Sus scrofa: one gene and its partners. The protein of the gene in region 2 interacts with the protein of the main gene of each other region in a biochemical or structural test. Links are inferred from orthologs where the notes say so. Each region holds a gene or a part of one and is shown on either strand. Other genes may lie near its edges.

Region 1 (3,632 bases), on a different chromosome or scaffold from region 2:
CGGCCTAGATCACAGCCACAGCAACACCAGGTCCCAGCTGAGTCTGCAACCTACAGAACTCACGGCAACACCAGATCCTTAACCTACTGAGTGAGGACAGGGTTCAAACCTGCGTCCTAATGGATACTAGTCAGGTTCCTTACCACTGAGCCACGATGGGAACTCCCTAGTATAGAGAGATAAGCTGACTACTTCAATTACTCCTGGGGTCAAGAAGACCTCCCCAGTTATATATACACAGAGAAACTCTTGGGGGTCAAAAACGGAGGTGGGTACCAGGCCATAGTAGGTCCTGATGCCCTCCCATAACACTTTGCTCTGAAATCCATCTTGACCAAAAGCTGCACACACAGATCAGGGAGGGCCCTGGGTCTGGTCAGGTGTGAGAAATAAAACAGGATAACTGGTCAAAGAAAAACAAAGACCCAGTAGACCCGTCTATAAAGTGGTTTAAATCACCTCTCTGGCTCGCTCTTCATTCGGGGGGGGAACGCCAGCACTCCTCTTTTGGGTGTGGATTACTGCTTTGCTCTGACTTAAATAAACTACTTTTTCTTTTTTCAGTCTTTTTAGGGCCACACGCACAGCATGTGGAAGTTCCCAGGCTAGGGGTCAAACTGGGGGACTGTAGCTGCTGGCCGACACCACAGCCACAGCCACTCGAGATCCAATCCTAGCCTGTGACCTACACCACAGCTCACGGCAATGCCGGATCCTTAACCCACTGAGCGAGGCCAAGGATCGAACCTGTGTCCTCATGGATGCTAGGTGGGTTCGTTAACCACTGAGCTATGATGGGAACTCCTAAATAAACTACTTCCCTGTGTGCTCTCCAACATGTCACACTGTGTCTCTGACAATAAACTTTGTACCTGTTTTTACAGTCTTTGTCTCCTTGAAACATTCTTGCTTTCAACAGGGAGCAAGAATCAAGGCAATTCTGCTTCCAGCCTCTAGCTAAGATTCCTGGTTTTCACCCAGGCTGCTCAGGTTTTGTTTTTTGTATTTTCTAGGGCCTCACTCACGGCATATGGAGGTTCCCAGGCTAGGGGTTGAATCGGAGCTGTAGCCGCTGGCCTATGCCAGAGCCACAGCAACACCAGATCTGAGCTGCGTCTGCAACCTACACCACAGCTCACAGCAACACCAGATCCTTAACCCACTGAGCAAGGCCAGGGATCGAACCTGCAACCTCATGGTTCCTAGTCAGATTCGTTAACCACTGAGCCACCACGGAACACCCAGGCTGCCCAGGTTTGATTCCCGAGCAGAGAATTAAGATCTTGCTTCGAGCCATCACTCACAGCTGTCTCTCCAAGATCAGAACCACCTAAAGGCACTGGCCAGCCCCCCACCCCCCACACAGGAGGGCCCAGGGACAGGTGAAGGGATCCCCAAGGCGCCCCTACCGCAGTTCTCCTCGTCAGACTTGTCCTTGCAGTCAGTGTCTCCGTCGCAGCGCCAGCTGGAGTGGATGCACTCGCCACTGTGGCAGTGGAACTCGAGGGCTGAGCAGGGGTTGTTGCTCCTCTCGGGGAGTGATGAGCTGTGGCTCCTGCAGTGCTGTGGCCACTCGTCTGAGCCGTCCTCGCAGTCAGGATCACCATCACAGGCCCACAGCTCAGGGATGCAGGTGGAGCTGTTGCACTGGAAGCTGGCGGGGCCACAGGTGGGTGTGGGGCAGGATGCTTCATCCGAGCCGTCCAGGCAGTCCCGGTCCGAGTCACAGACAAACTTTGGGGCGATGCACTTGCCGTCCTGGCAGCGGAACTCATCTTGGGAGCACGTCTTGGGGGCTTCAGAAATAGACAGAAGATCACAGCCAGGTTACCGGGGAGGCCCTACACCAGCCCACTGCATAGATGGGGACACTGAGCCCAGGACAGGCCAAGCCCAGTGAGTGGACCTGGGGTAGTAGTCAGGGGCCCTGGATTTGGAACCACTGCCCCACCCAGATACCCACCCAGCTCCCGGCCCTCTCAATGCCTCGGACGTCTGTTCGTGTCTCAAGGTGTTACTGTGAGGAACGTGTGTAAAGTTCCCAGGTTGGGCTGGGCACATGGGAAGCACTATTTAAGAGTTTGCACAGGGATCCACATTCAATTTCTTGTAATAAACTATAATGGAAAAGAACATGAAAAAGAGGGAGTTCCCTGGTCGTTCAGCAGGTTAAGGATCTGGCAGTTGTCACTGCTGTGCAGTGGGTTGCAGCTGCACCTTGAATTCAGTCCCTGGCCTGGGAACTTGATATGCAGTGGATGCGACCAAATAAAAAAAAGAGAGAGAGAAATATATATATTTCTCTTCCTTTTACATTCTCTCCCATTATAGGTTATTACAACCTGTCCAGAGGTTTTTGTTTTTTTAAAGAGCCTCACTTCATGAAAGACATGTCTATACAAGAGTTCCCCAGTGGCTCAGTGGGTTAATGATCCAGGGTTGTCACTGCTGTGGCACAGGTTTGATCCCTGGCCCAGGAATTTCCACATGCCATAGATGCGGCCAAAAAAAAAAAAAAAAAAAAAAAAGTTTATATAGCTGAAAAGGAAATTATAAATAATGAATAAAATCAAAGAGCCAGCTGCCACATGCCTTCCCATCTGAAACTATCAGCCTTGTTTCTTTGTGGAACTCTCAGCTGGAGGAACAAATTCTGACCTCAGACCAGAATCTGGTCGGGTCACTTGGACGTGGCTGAGGCCCATGGCCCATGAGGTGAGGGACCCCACTTACAACAGCCTTCCTCATCTGAGCCATTCTCGCAGTCCTGCTGACCGTCACACCTCCAAGACTCAGGAATGCAGCGGTTGACACGGCCCCCACAGCTAAAGTCCCCTATCTTGCAGGTGACAGACACTGTGGGAGAAAACAGCATTGACCCTTAACTCATAGGAAGACCAACCTGCCTTGCCAGTCTGGGCTTTGCAAAGGAAAAAACCTTGGAGTTCCCTGGTGGCCTAATGGTTAAGGATCTGGCATTGTCACTGCTGTGGCTAGGGTTCCATCGCTGGCCTGGGAACTTCTGCATGCTGTGGGAGCAGCCAAAAGTGAGTAGCGAGCTCCCCTTTACATTTTATTTAATAAAATAAAAATTATAGGAGTTCCCATGGTGGCTCAGTGGTTAACGAATCTGACTAGGAACCATGAGGTTGCGGGTTCGATCCCTGGCCTTGCTCAGTGGGTTAAGGATCTGGTGTTGCTGTGAGTTGTGGTGTAGGTCACAGACACGGCTCAGATCCTGCCTTGCTGTGGCTCTGGCGTAGGCCAGTGGCTACAGCTCCGATTAGACCCCTAGCCTGGGAACCTCCATATGCCACAGGAGCACTCAAGAAAAGGCAAAAAGACTAAAATAAAATAAAAATTATATTAAATTGGAAAAAAATTAAGTGACCAGTTGGTAAGGGCTATAGGGATAAATTAGGAGTTTGGAATTAACAGATACACGACACTACATATTAAATAGATAGACGACAAGGACCTACTGCATAGCACAGGAAACTATATTCAATATCTTGTAATAACTATACTAGAAAAGAATCTAGGAGTTCCAGTTGTGGCTCAGTGGAAACGAACCCAACAAGCATCCATGAGGACCCAGGTTCGATCCCTGGCCTTGCTCAGTGGGTTAAGGG
Region 2 (4,208 bases):
ACCTATTCTGATTCGTATAAACAGCTAAAACATCCTTAAACATGGAATCACTTGAATATCGTGCAAGACATTTTCAGAAGCACTAAGCATTCAATATACTAGCTTCTCTCAGATACCAAATTGAACATTTCCTTCACCCTTTAAAGTTTCGTAACAAGGCAAAACAGATTTCAAATTCAGATGAATAGTACTTCAAAATGTTTCTTTCCGTCCTTTGGTAAACAACCAAAAAACTGACATGCTAAAAACTCTTAAAGGATGTGTATAGCTCACTCATCGTTACTCAAAGTTGTCACACTCACATTTTTCATGTGCTGGCAAATTTCCAAGCCAAAGGATTATGAAAAAACATCAGAACTTGGATCCAAAGTTTGCTGTGCTTAAAAGTAGTCATTTTCTTTCCTTTTTTTTTTTAAACATGCCACTGTAAGATTTAGGTTTCCTGTATTTTAGCAATAAACACTAAATTCTGGTTTCCTAGCTTGGCTCTCTTTGAGAAAAGTATTATAGACAGTCTAGAGGAGAAACCATTTTCTGTTTGAAAAAAGAAACCACATGCTCCAATTATCTATCACTATTGGTGGCTTCCTAGAAATAAAGAGATAAATTTAACAATCCAAATTCAACAATCATGCATAACACATCTGTGGAGTGGAGTTTGATTACTACTGGCCTTAAAAGAAGTTTTCCTACTAAGTTTTCAAGAAACTGAAAAACTTTTAAAATTCTGCATTTACTCGGACAGAGCTCCTTCCTACAGACTGTAATCTGACACTAGGCTGAAGAAGTTGACCAAGTTTAAGTAACCCAAGAGGAACTGTTTCCTGCTTTCTGTTAGAGCAGTCTGCAATGACCTATAGTAACACTGCTGAGGCAGAGGTTACTATCGGACAGTAGATGCTGCTATCAGGAAGTCAGTTGGTCCCTTTCTTTCTTTTTTTATTTGATTTTTTTGTGTGTTGTGGCACTGATCAAGTGTAAAAAGTCAGCCCTGCTCACCCACTGTTTATAAAGACAAGAAAAACACCAGAAGAGTTGGAAATCATACCCCAGGCCAACTATGCACCTCTCTTTTCATCTCAACAAAAGAACTGTGGAAAACTTCTGAGTTAGGAACCAACTCGCTCTGTAACAAAACAAATTTGCCTGTGAACATCTCTGGGAGGTGCAATGGCCCCTTCCTAAATGGAACCAAAGGTCTATTTGACATTGGTTTATTTTAGGGTCACTTTACCTAGTCTGTTCCTGTAAAATGAGATGAGGCTCCACGAAGAACTTGACTCTCAGTTTAAGCCGGTAAGGGGCTAGCCCATCCATCTGCTGGGAGATCCGATTTCTTAGATTTAGCCATAAACTTTCACCTTTGCTACCCGTAAATTGCAGTCCAAAATAATCAACTTCTATAATTCCCAATCGCCTGCACACCTAAAACAAAAACAAATGCAGCATGGATGAGCAAGTGGTCCACGGGATTAAAGCAAACCCAAAGGCTTTAACATTCCTGCCTACTTTAAAAACAAAAAAACAAAAAAACACAAGGTTCAACAACGGTGTTACAATTCCTGTTGTTAGCTAGAACAAGGTTCTAAGGCTCCAGGGATGTTAAACCACTACTAGATAGAGGCACAAAAGGAGTTCTCAAAATGCAGCCTTCCAGAAAAGCTGAGGAGGGGAATCCACGGGGTATTCTCCTCCTCATTCCAATCACCGGAATTCCCTCCACCAGCACAATCCGCACAGCTGATTTGGCAGCTTATTATTTGGGCAATTTTAACCATCTGGACTCCAACAAAACAAACACATTGAGCTAACACGCCACAAGTGTCAGCTAAGCTTGTAGGTTTTCCAAACATCTCAGGTCGAGGGGGTTTGAGGGCAAAGCGTTTCTCTTGAGCTGAATTTGCCATCTGCCATACTACTATGTACACTATTTGGAACCGTTCTTCTTTACTCTTAAGGAAACGCGTGCTGAAAGACAGCCGTGAGGTAGAAAAGCCAAACCTGTGGTCCTCTTGTCCCCCGCAATAGGGGAGATGCAGGTAGATGAACGGTCCATTAGACAGGTAGCAAGAGGCGAGGGCCTGGCTTATCTGCCAAGCAACCCACGGGACCTGCGACTGCTTCCAGCCACCGCAACCCGGGGCGCAGGTGGCGCTGCCAGGCCCCGCGGGGACCCGACAGGAGGCATCACGCACACACCTGCGGCAGGTGTGCTGGGCCCCCTTCTTCCAGGAGAGTGCCGGGCTGGGGGGCAGGGTGGTAGGCCCGCCGCGCGTCCCCCGAGACACCCACCCCCACTCCTCCAGGCGTCCCCCGCGCGCCGGGAAGGGGGCCGCGCGCCCCACGGCCTCGAGGAGGAGGGGGCGCGGGCCGGGCGCCTGGGGCGCACTCCCTCCGCCGCCGGCGCCTCCGCGATGCCGGCCCCCGAGAAGCCCCGCGTCCGGGCTCCTGGAGCCACCACGAGGCCCCTGGGCCTCTGGAGCCGGCTGGGGCCCCCGCCTGGCCCCTGGTCCTCACCTGGTTGAGGCAGTCCTCGCCATTGGCTTTCGCCTCCACCTCCACCTCCATCAGCACCGCGTCCGGCCTCGTCACATAGCACAGCATGGCTGGGGCCGCCGCTGCCGCCACAGCCGCCTCGTCTTTGGTGTGCGCGGGGCTCAGACCCAGTTCCCGTCTCGGCGAGGCTGGCCCTCAGGAGGCTGCAGCCTTGCAGACCCCTGCCCTGCACACCGCAGCCGCCGCGCCCTCGCCGCCACCCCCTTGCCAGCGCGCCCGGCAGCCGGCTCGCTGACTCCCGCGGTGGCGCCGCACTCCAGCAGCCCGACTGCCTGCGCCGCGACAGGGACTCCTCAGATATAGCGGCCCCGCCCCCCTCGGCTGGGAGCCCCCGCCAATCACGGTGGCCCCGCCCCTCCACCGCCGCCCCACCAGCCAATAGCGACGCCCGCTCCCCTGCCGCCCGCCCTTCCAGCGTCGGCTGAGTTCCCCTCAGCCTCCCCGGGAGGTGGCAGCTCGCGGGCGGCGGGCGCTGCGGGAGGAGGGAGGACCTGGGACGCAGCCTCTACCTCTGCCCGCTGGGCGACGCTGCTCCGAGCCAGCGATCGCCCGGGGCTCCCAGGCTGGGACGACTTTCAGTCGGGCTCGAATTTACATTGATTAAACGCCTCCAAGCAGCCGCTGTTCTTCAGAAGCCTTGAGGTGGAAGCGGATAGGAAAGAGAACAACCCCAAAGCCTAAAAAAAAACTGTTTCCCCTGTGGTTTGCCACAGTGGGTTGCTGGAAGGCGGAATTCTTGTTCTTTATTTTAGGCGCCGTCATTGAAAAAACAAAATCTGAGTATAAAAGTTTTTGCGATTGTTCAATAAGCCAGGGAGCTTGATCTAGCACTTTCTCCATGAACCCTCTCCAGAAGCTTCTATTTACCCATTGTGCTGAATCAAAACACCGTACTGGTCACTAAGGCCCTCCCTGGGGTTGCTCATCCTATCTCACACCTCATCTCATTTATTCACTTAACATTAATTGAGCACCTGCTCCAGTCTCTCAGGCAACCAGGTGTTATCCCCATCTTGGGGTAAGGAACTCATCTCAGAACCTAACAGGTGATTTAACCTCAATTGTAGCTATTAATAATTAAAGGTCTACAACTCTCCCCTCATTTACCACTTGTTTCTCTTAGTGCATTATTGAGCCTACCTCTTTGGTTTCTTCACAGAAGCCAGAAGATGTGGGTTTCAGCCTTGCACCCTTGAAAACTGACTTCATCTCTCCGCAGCTCAGTGTTTCAGCAGTAAAAGGGAGACCACAGTGTCTGACCCGCCTTTCCCCAGCATTGCTCTGAAAAGCAGCAGAGATAGTGTTCATAAAAGCATTTGAACGACCCCTTATATGTAGGGAGATATGTACTGTCAGCTCTCACTGCCTGCCAATGACTTCTGTCCTGATCCCTTTCTTGGAGTCCCAGGGATGTCTGTCCCAGTGGCCTTTATTTCTGAAAAAGCAGGAAGGATATCAGGGCAGATTACCGGTTAGAATCCTACTGCAGTCTTTCACTAAACTACAGCCAAAACAAGTCCAAGTCCTGAGCCCCAGCGCTGCAGAGGGACGTGTGCACTCGCATCTTTGTGTCTTAAGAATATCCCTCACAATATTGTGCTGAAATAGTCCCACCTTGTATCCACTCTTGTTCTTCATTCACTTAATGTCAT
Region 3 (4,155 bases), on a different chromosome or scaffold from region 2:
ATGGAAGCCAACTCTTGATCTAACATTGGAGGATGGAGAAGGTTCCAGAGGGCTGTGAGGACAGGAGATAAAGTGGGTGTAGCTTACCTGTTCGCTTACTACAAAGTTTGTCTTTAACGTTGTCAGCCTCACGGGAAAAGAATTCAATGAGTTCATCCTCATATTCCTCCACAATGCTCTCACACTGTCAACCCAAGGGAGAAATGAATGAGAGAGGACAGCAAAGAAAGCCTCTGGTCTCCACCTCCGAAAAGGACAAGGGCATTAACCCAGCTTTCCACTTGGGCTCTCCAGTAACTCCCCTAATTTCTAAGAACCCGATACCCACTCCCATAGCTCACCGCGAACTTGAGGGTGCCGCTGATGTCTGAATCAATTCGGATGCCCTGTAGGTCCAGTTCATTGGACTCTCCATTCCGGCCCACTACACGCACGTAGTTCTTGCGGTGGGTGGAAGGATCAATCTGTTCCCCATACTCCTTCATCCGGTCACATACCTCCTCTAGCAGCTCTGTGAGGTGGGCCTCTGAGCGAGCATAAGGCACCTAGAAATGTCCTCAGCCTTGGGTCACATTCTTCTACCTCTGTACATTAGTAATTTGTGTCCTTACTTTTCCTTCCAAATCTAGCCCAACCAATCTATTCTAAAAAGGCTGTCCTAATTTAAAAACAGTATGATTTGTACAGTTCCAAAGTATTTTCAAATATGTGAAACTATTTTACCTCATTATACAAGCCTAAAACGTAACATAGGTGTCATTAGCTCCAAATTATAAAACAACCTCTTTGACTAACCCTAATTAACTACACGTTCTCTTCCTTTGAATTCCTTTAATTCTTAGGGCTGTAAGGTACTGACTTTCTTTTTTGTATGAAAATGAGACTAATACCTACCCTTAAGAAAGAACACTGAGAGGTAGCATAGGCTTTGAGGATAACAACTGTTAAAGCATTTCACAAGCATTCATGACCTTAACCTTTCTCAAGTGCTCACTAGATACAGCTTTGTGTCTGTGTGTTATATTTCAACTAAAGTAAATTTCCTAAATATAAGGATAAGTTTCCCCGCCCCCCCCAAATGTTTTTATGTATGCTGCCATAGTAAAAACACAAGTCATAAAGATTAAGGATGTGGAGAAGGGGGTTGGTCAAGGTTCCCTCTCTGCTAAAACTTCTATACCAAAAAAAAATTATTAGGTTTGGAGCCAGGAGGCAAATGCATAAGGGTATAAACCTTCAACCTCCTCCAAATGAGACAGCCCAATCTTTTAGATGCCTCTGTGGGTCAATGTTTTCTTCATTTCTATCAAACTATGGTCCTTCTTAATTAGTTGAGTTTCTCCTTCAAAGTTAGAGTGAGTTATTTTATTCGGGGGAATAGTCACAGTTACCTCCACCACTGACTGGCTGCCATCTGGATTGATTCGGAAAGAGCCCATCTGAATGGTCTTCTTGGGATCCACCTGAGCAATTTCCCACTCTAGTTCATCCACCAGAGCCCTGCAAGCTGGTGCAAGTGGAGGGAGAGGGGGAGAAAGGAATCAACCCAGGGATTTCCACTCATCCTTTTCTCGGGCCTTGGATTCCTTGCCCTCCCAAGGCTCTATCATCCCCACCTCCCTTCCTCCCATTTCTTCTTTTGTGCCTTTACCTCCACAGTGTAGATCTTGGCTCCTTCGAGCCCAGGCAGTTCCCAGCAGGGCCCCTAGAAGCAGGGCCAGCCAACCCCAGCCTTTCATCTTTAGCGCAATGGGGTTGCTCCACCTGGGTTTGGAATGGAATAAAGCATAGGTGTGAGGAGACAGCTCCATTTCTCCCCGTCCTCCGACCACCCCCCCCCCACCTCCCCTCCCAAGGCCTACAAAGGGCTCAGTGTGATCTGGCTCCACTTTCCAGGAAATGGCCCGGACACAAAGGAGCTCCTCTGTTCCGGCGTTCGAGCAACCGGAATCCCCGGGGGCGGTGGGTAAAGAGCGCAAACTCGGGACTTGGGGCTTAGCCCCAGACACTACGTGGGCAAGTGAGGCCTTAGATGTTGGTACTTAAGCTTCGGCTGCCTACGATTCATAGGGCTATGTGGATGACGGCTATGGGTCTGTGGCTGGCGATCAGGCAAGGACGACAAGCAGAGGAGCTGCTGGCAAGGAGTAGCTGATTCTGGCCAGGAGGTAGCGAGGTGGCTGGCTGGCAAGAAAAAGCATTCAATAACTAGGGCCTATTTGAAGCCAGCATCAAAGACTGCTGCATCCCACCTCCAGCCTATAGACTATTCCCTGTACGGACCAGCCCCCTTTCTAAAGACCCCGCCATTGCTTTCGCTCCAGTCCAACCCCGACCCTCACTGCCACTCGCGTCCGTCCCACCTCTGCTCCCAGGGCCGCCGCGGTGGCCCAGGCGCTGGAATACAGCCGGACTCTCACTTTTGCTCTCAAACCTAGCACCTGGCTGCGGGAGCGCGGGGCTGTCCAAGCTTCTCCAGAGCGCTCCTGCACTTTCTAGACACGGGGTGCCCCAGCGACTGCCTGAGCCAGCTTTTCCGACCCTAAGTGGACGCCTGCCTAATCAGGGCCCAGATGCGCTGCGGTAAGAATCCCACCCTAGAGACCGACCCCAAACCCGCCCCTCCAAACTCTCGCGCGAACAGGCAGCGTAGGAGCGGCTCTCAGGCAGCGAGGACCCCAGCGGATTGCAGGACCCAGACTTGCGTGGCGAGCAGTTCCACGTGACCACCAGGGGTCAGCCGAGGAATAGGAGTGGCTAGAAGCAAGGACAGAGCCCGACGTGGTGCACCGAGGCCCTCAGGCTCGCGCATGGCAGTCTAGATGGGTTCGAGCCTTCAAAAAGAAAGGTGCGCTGCTAGCTAGTAAGAAGCCCAGGTTTCAATGCCCGGGAAACTGCATCTCCCAGGAAGCACCGCGGCACCACACAGGCTCTTTGCTGGTAGCCAAAGATCAGATATCCTGGGACCTGTAGTTTGTAAGGTTCTCCAAATTCCCTTTCATACATTTAATAGGGAAATCATAATGCACCTCTTAAAAGAACCCAACCTTAGGGTGCTGGGCAGCCACAGCAAAGACCAAACACTGCCCATATAGACCTAATTATACTCCTCCAATATCCTTAATTTTTTCTAAGATTTTTTTTTTTTTTTTTTTTTTTTTTTTTGCTTTTAGGGCTGCATCTGTGGCATATGGAAGTTCCCAAGCTAGGGGTTGAACTGGAGCTTCAGCTGCTGGTTTACACCACAGCCATGGCAACTCAGAATTGGAACCACGTCTACAACCTACACCACAGCTCATGGCAACGCTGGATCCTTAACCCACTGAGCGAAACTAGGGATCAAACATGCATCCTCATGGATCCTAGTTGGGTTCGTTACCTCTGAGCCACAATGGGAACTCCCAATATTCTTAATTTTGGACTCTAGAGCTTTATCTTCACTTCTAGGTGGGAATTTGAAAGCCTTAGTTTTTTCTTTTTTCTTGTCTTTTTGCCATTTCTTGGGCCGCTCCTGCGGCATGTGGAGGTTCCCAGGCTAGGGGTCCAATCGGAGCTGTAGCTGCCAGCCTATGCCAGAGCCACAGCAACATGGGATCCGAGCCGCGTCTGCCACCTACACCACAGCTCATGGCAACGCCGGATCGTTAACCCACTGAGCAAGGGCAGGGATCGAACCCGCTACCTCATGGTTCCTAGTTGGATTTGTTAACCACTGCGCCACGACGGGAACTTCCAAGTTTTTTCTGATTGTAATAGAAAGCCAACACAAAGGAAGGGAGGACTGAAGTCAGAGTACCCCACACTCAGATGTTCCTAATGAAATAGATGACACCCAATATTTTTCGTTTTTATTTTATAAAACATGCAGTTTAAAACAAAATTTTAAAAAATAACAAGAAAACAAAACTTGGGATGGGAGAGTGGATGGAAGACAGATGCTTCTCAGCTGTCGGCAGAAGTGAAGCCAGCAGCCAAGCTTTGTCTAGGACCCAAAGGCCCTTTTGGCAATGGTGATGTTGGCAACACTAGTTTGCTGGGGCCACCAGACTAAATGCTGGCCCCTCCAGGCAACCCTGAAGCAGAGACCTGAGTTAGGTCTTGAGCTACTACTGTTGTATCCTATCATTGTCTGGGACTAGGAACTGAGAGTTTTGG

The links.
Region 1: of the proteins of MYLIP (region 2) and LDLR, one has a biochemical effect on the other in vitro, tested with the Homo sapiens proteins (4 studies listed by BioGRID, with this or other methods). The link is inferred for Sus scrofa from reciprocal best matches to the Homo sapiens genes MYLIP and LDLR.
Region 3: the proteins of MYLIP (region 2) and CNPY2 form a complex in vitro, tested with the Homo sapiens proteins (2 studies listed by BioGRID). The link is inferred for Sus scrofa from reciprocal best matches to the Homo sapiens genes MYLIP and CNPY2.

Annotation. Positions count from the first base shown.
Region 1 is NC_010444.4:69,839,548-69,843,179, reverse strand, and holds part of LDLR (low-density lipoprotein receptor), read right to left. Parts: intron 2,857-3,632; coding exon 2,734-2,856; intron 1,797-2,733; coding exon 1,410-1,796; intron 1-1,409.
Region 2 is NC_010449.5:12,115,889-12,120,096, reverse strand, and holds the start of MYLIP (E3 ubiquitin-protein ligase MYLIP), read right to left. Parts: upstream 2,844-4,208; 5' UTR 2,605-2,843; coding exon 2,518-2,604; intron 1,426-2,517; coding exon 1,235-1,425; intron 1-1,234. UniProt on the Homo sapiens protein: E3 ubiquitin-protein ligase that mediates ubiquitination and subsequent proteasomal degradation of myosin regulatory light chain (MRLC), LDLR, VLDLR and LRP8. Activity depends on E2 enzymes of the UBE2D family.
Region 3 is NC_010447.5:21,708,409-21,712,563, forward strand, and holds the start of CNPY2 (protein canopy homolog 2 precursor), read right to left. Parts: upstream 2,885-4,155; 5' UTR 2,364-2,884; exon of another isoform or gene 1,863-2,363; intron 1,765-1,862; 5' UTR 1,740-1,764; coding exon 1,652-1,739; intron 1,508-1,651; coding exon 1,392-1,507; intron 546-1,391; coding exon 342-545; intron 185-341; coding exon 88-184; intron 1-87. UniProt on the Homo sapiens protein: Positive regulator of neurite outgrowth by stabilizing myosin regulatory light chain (MRLC). It prevents MIR-mediated MRLC ubiquitination and its subsequent proteasomal degradation.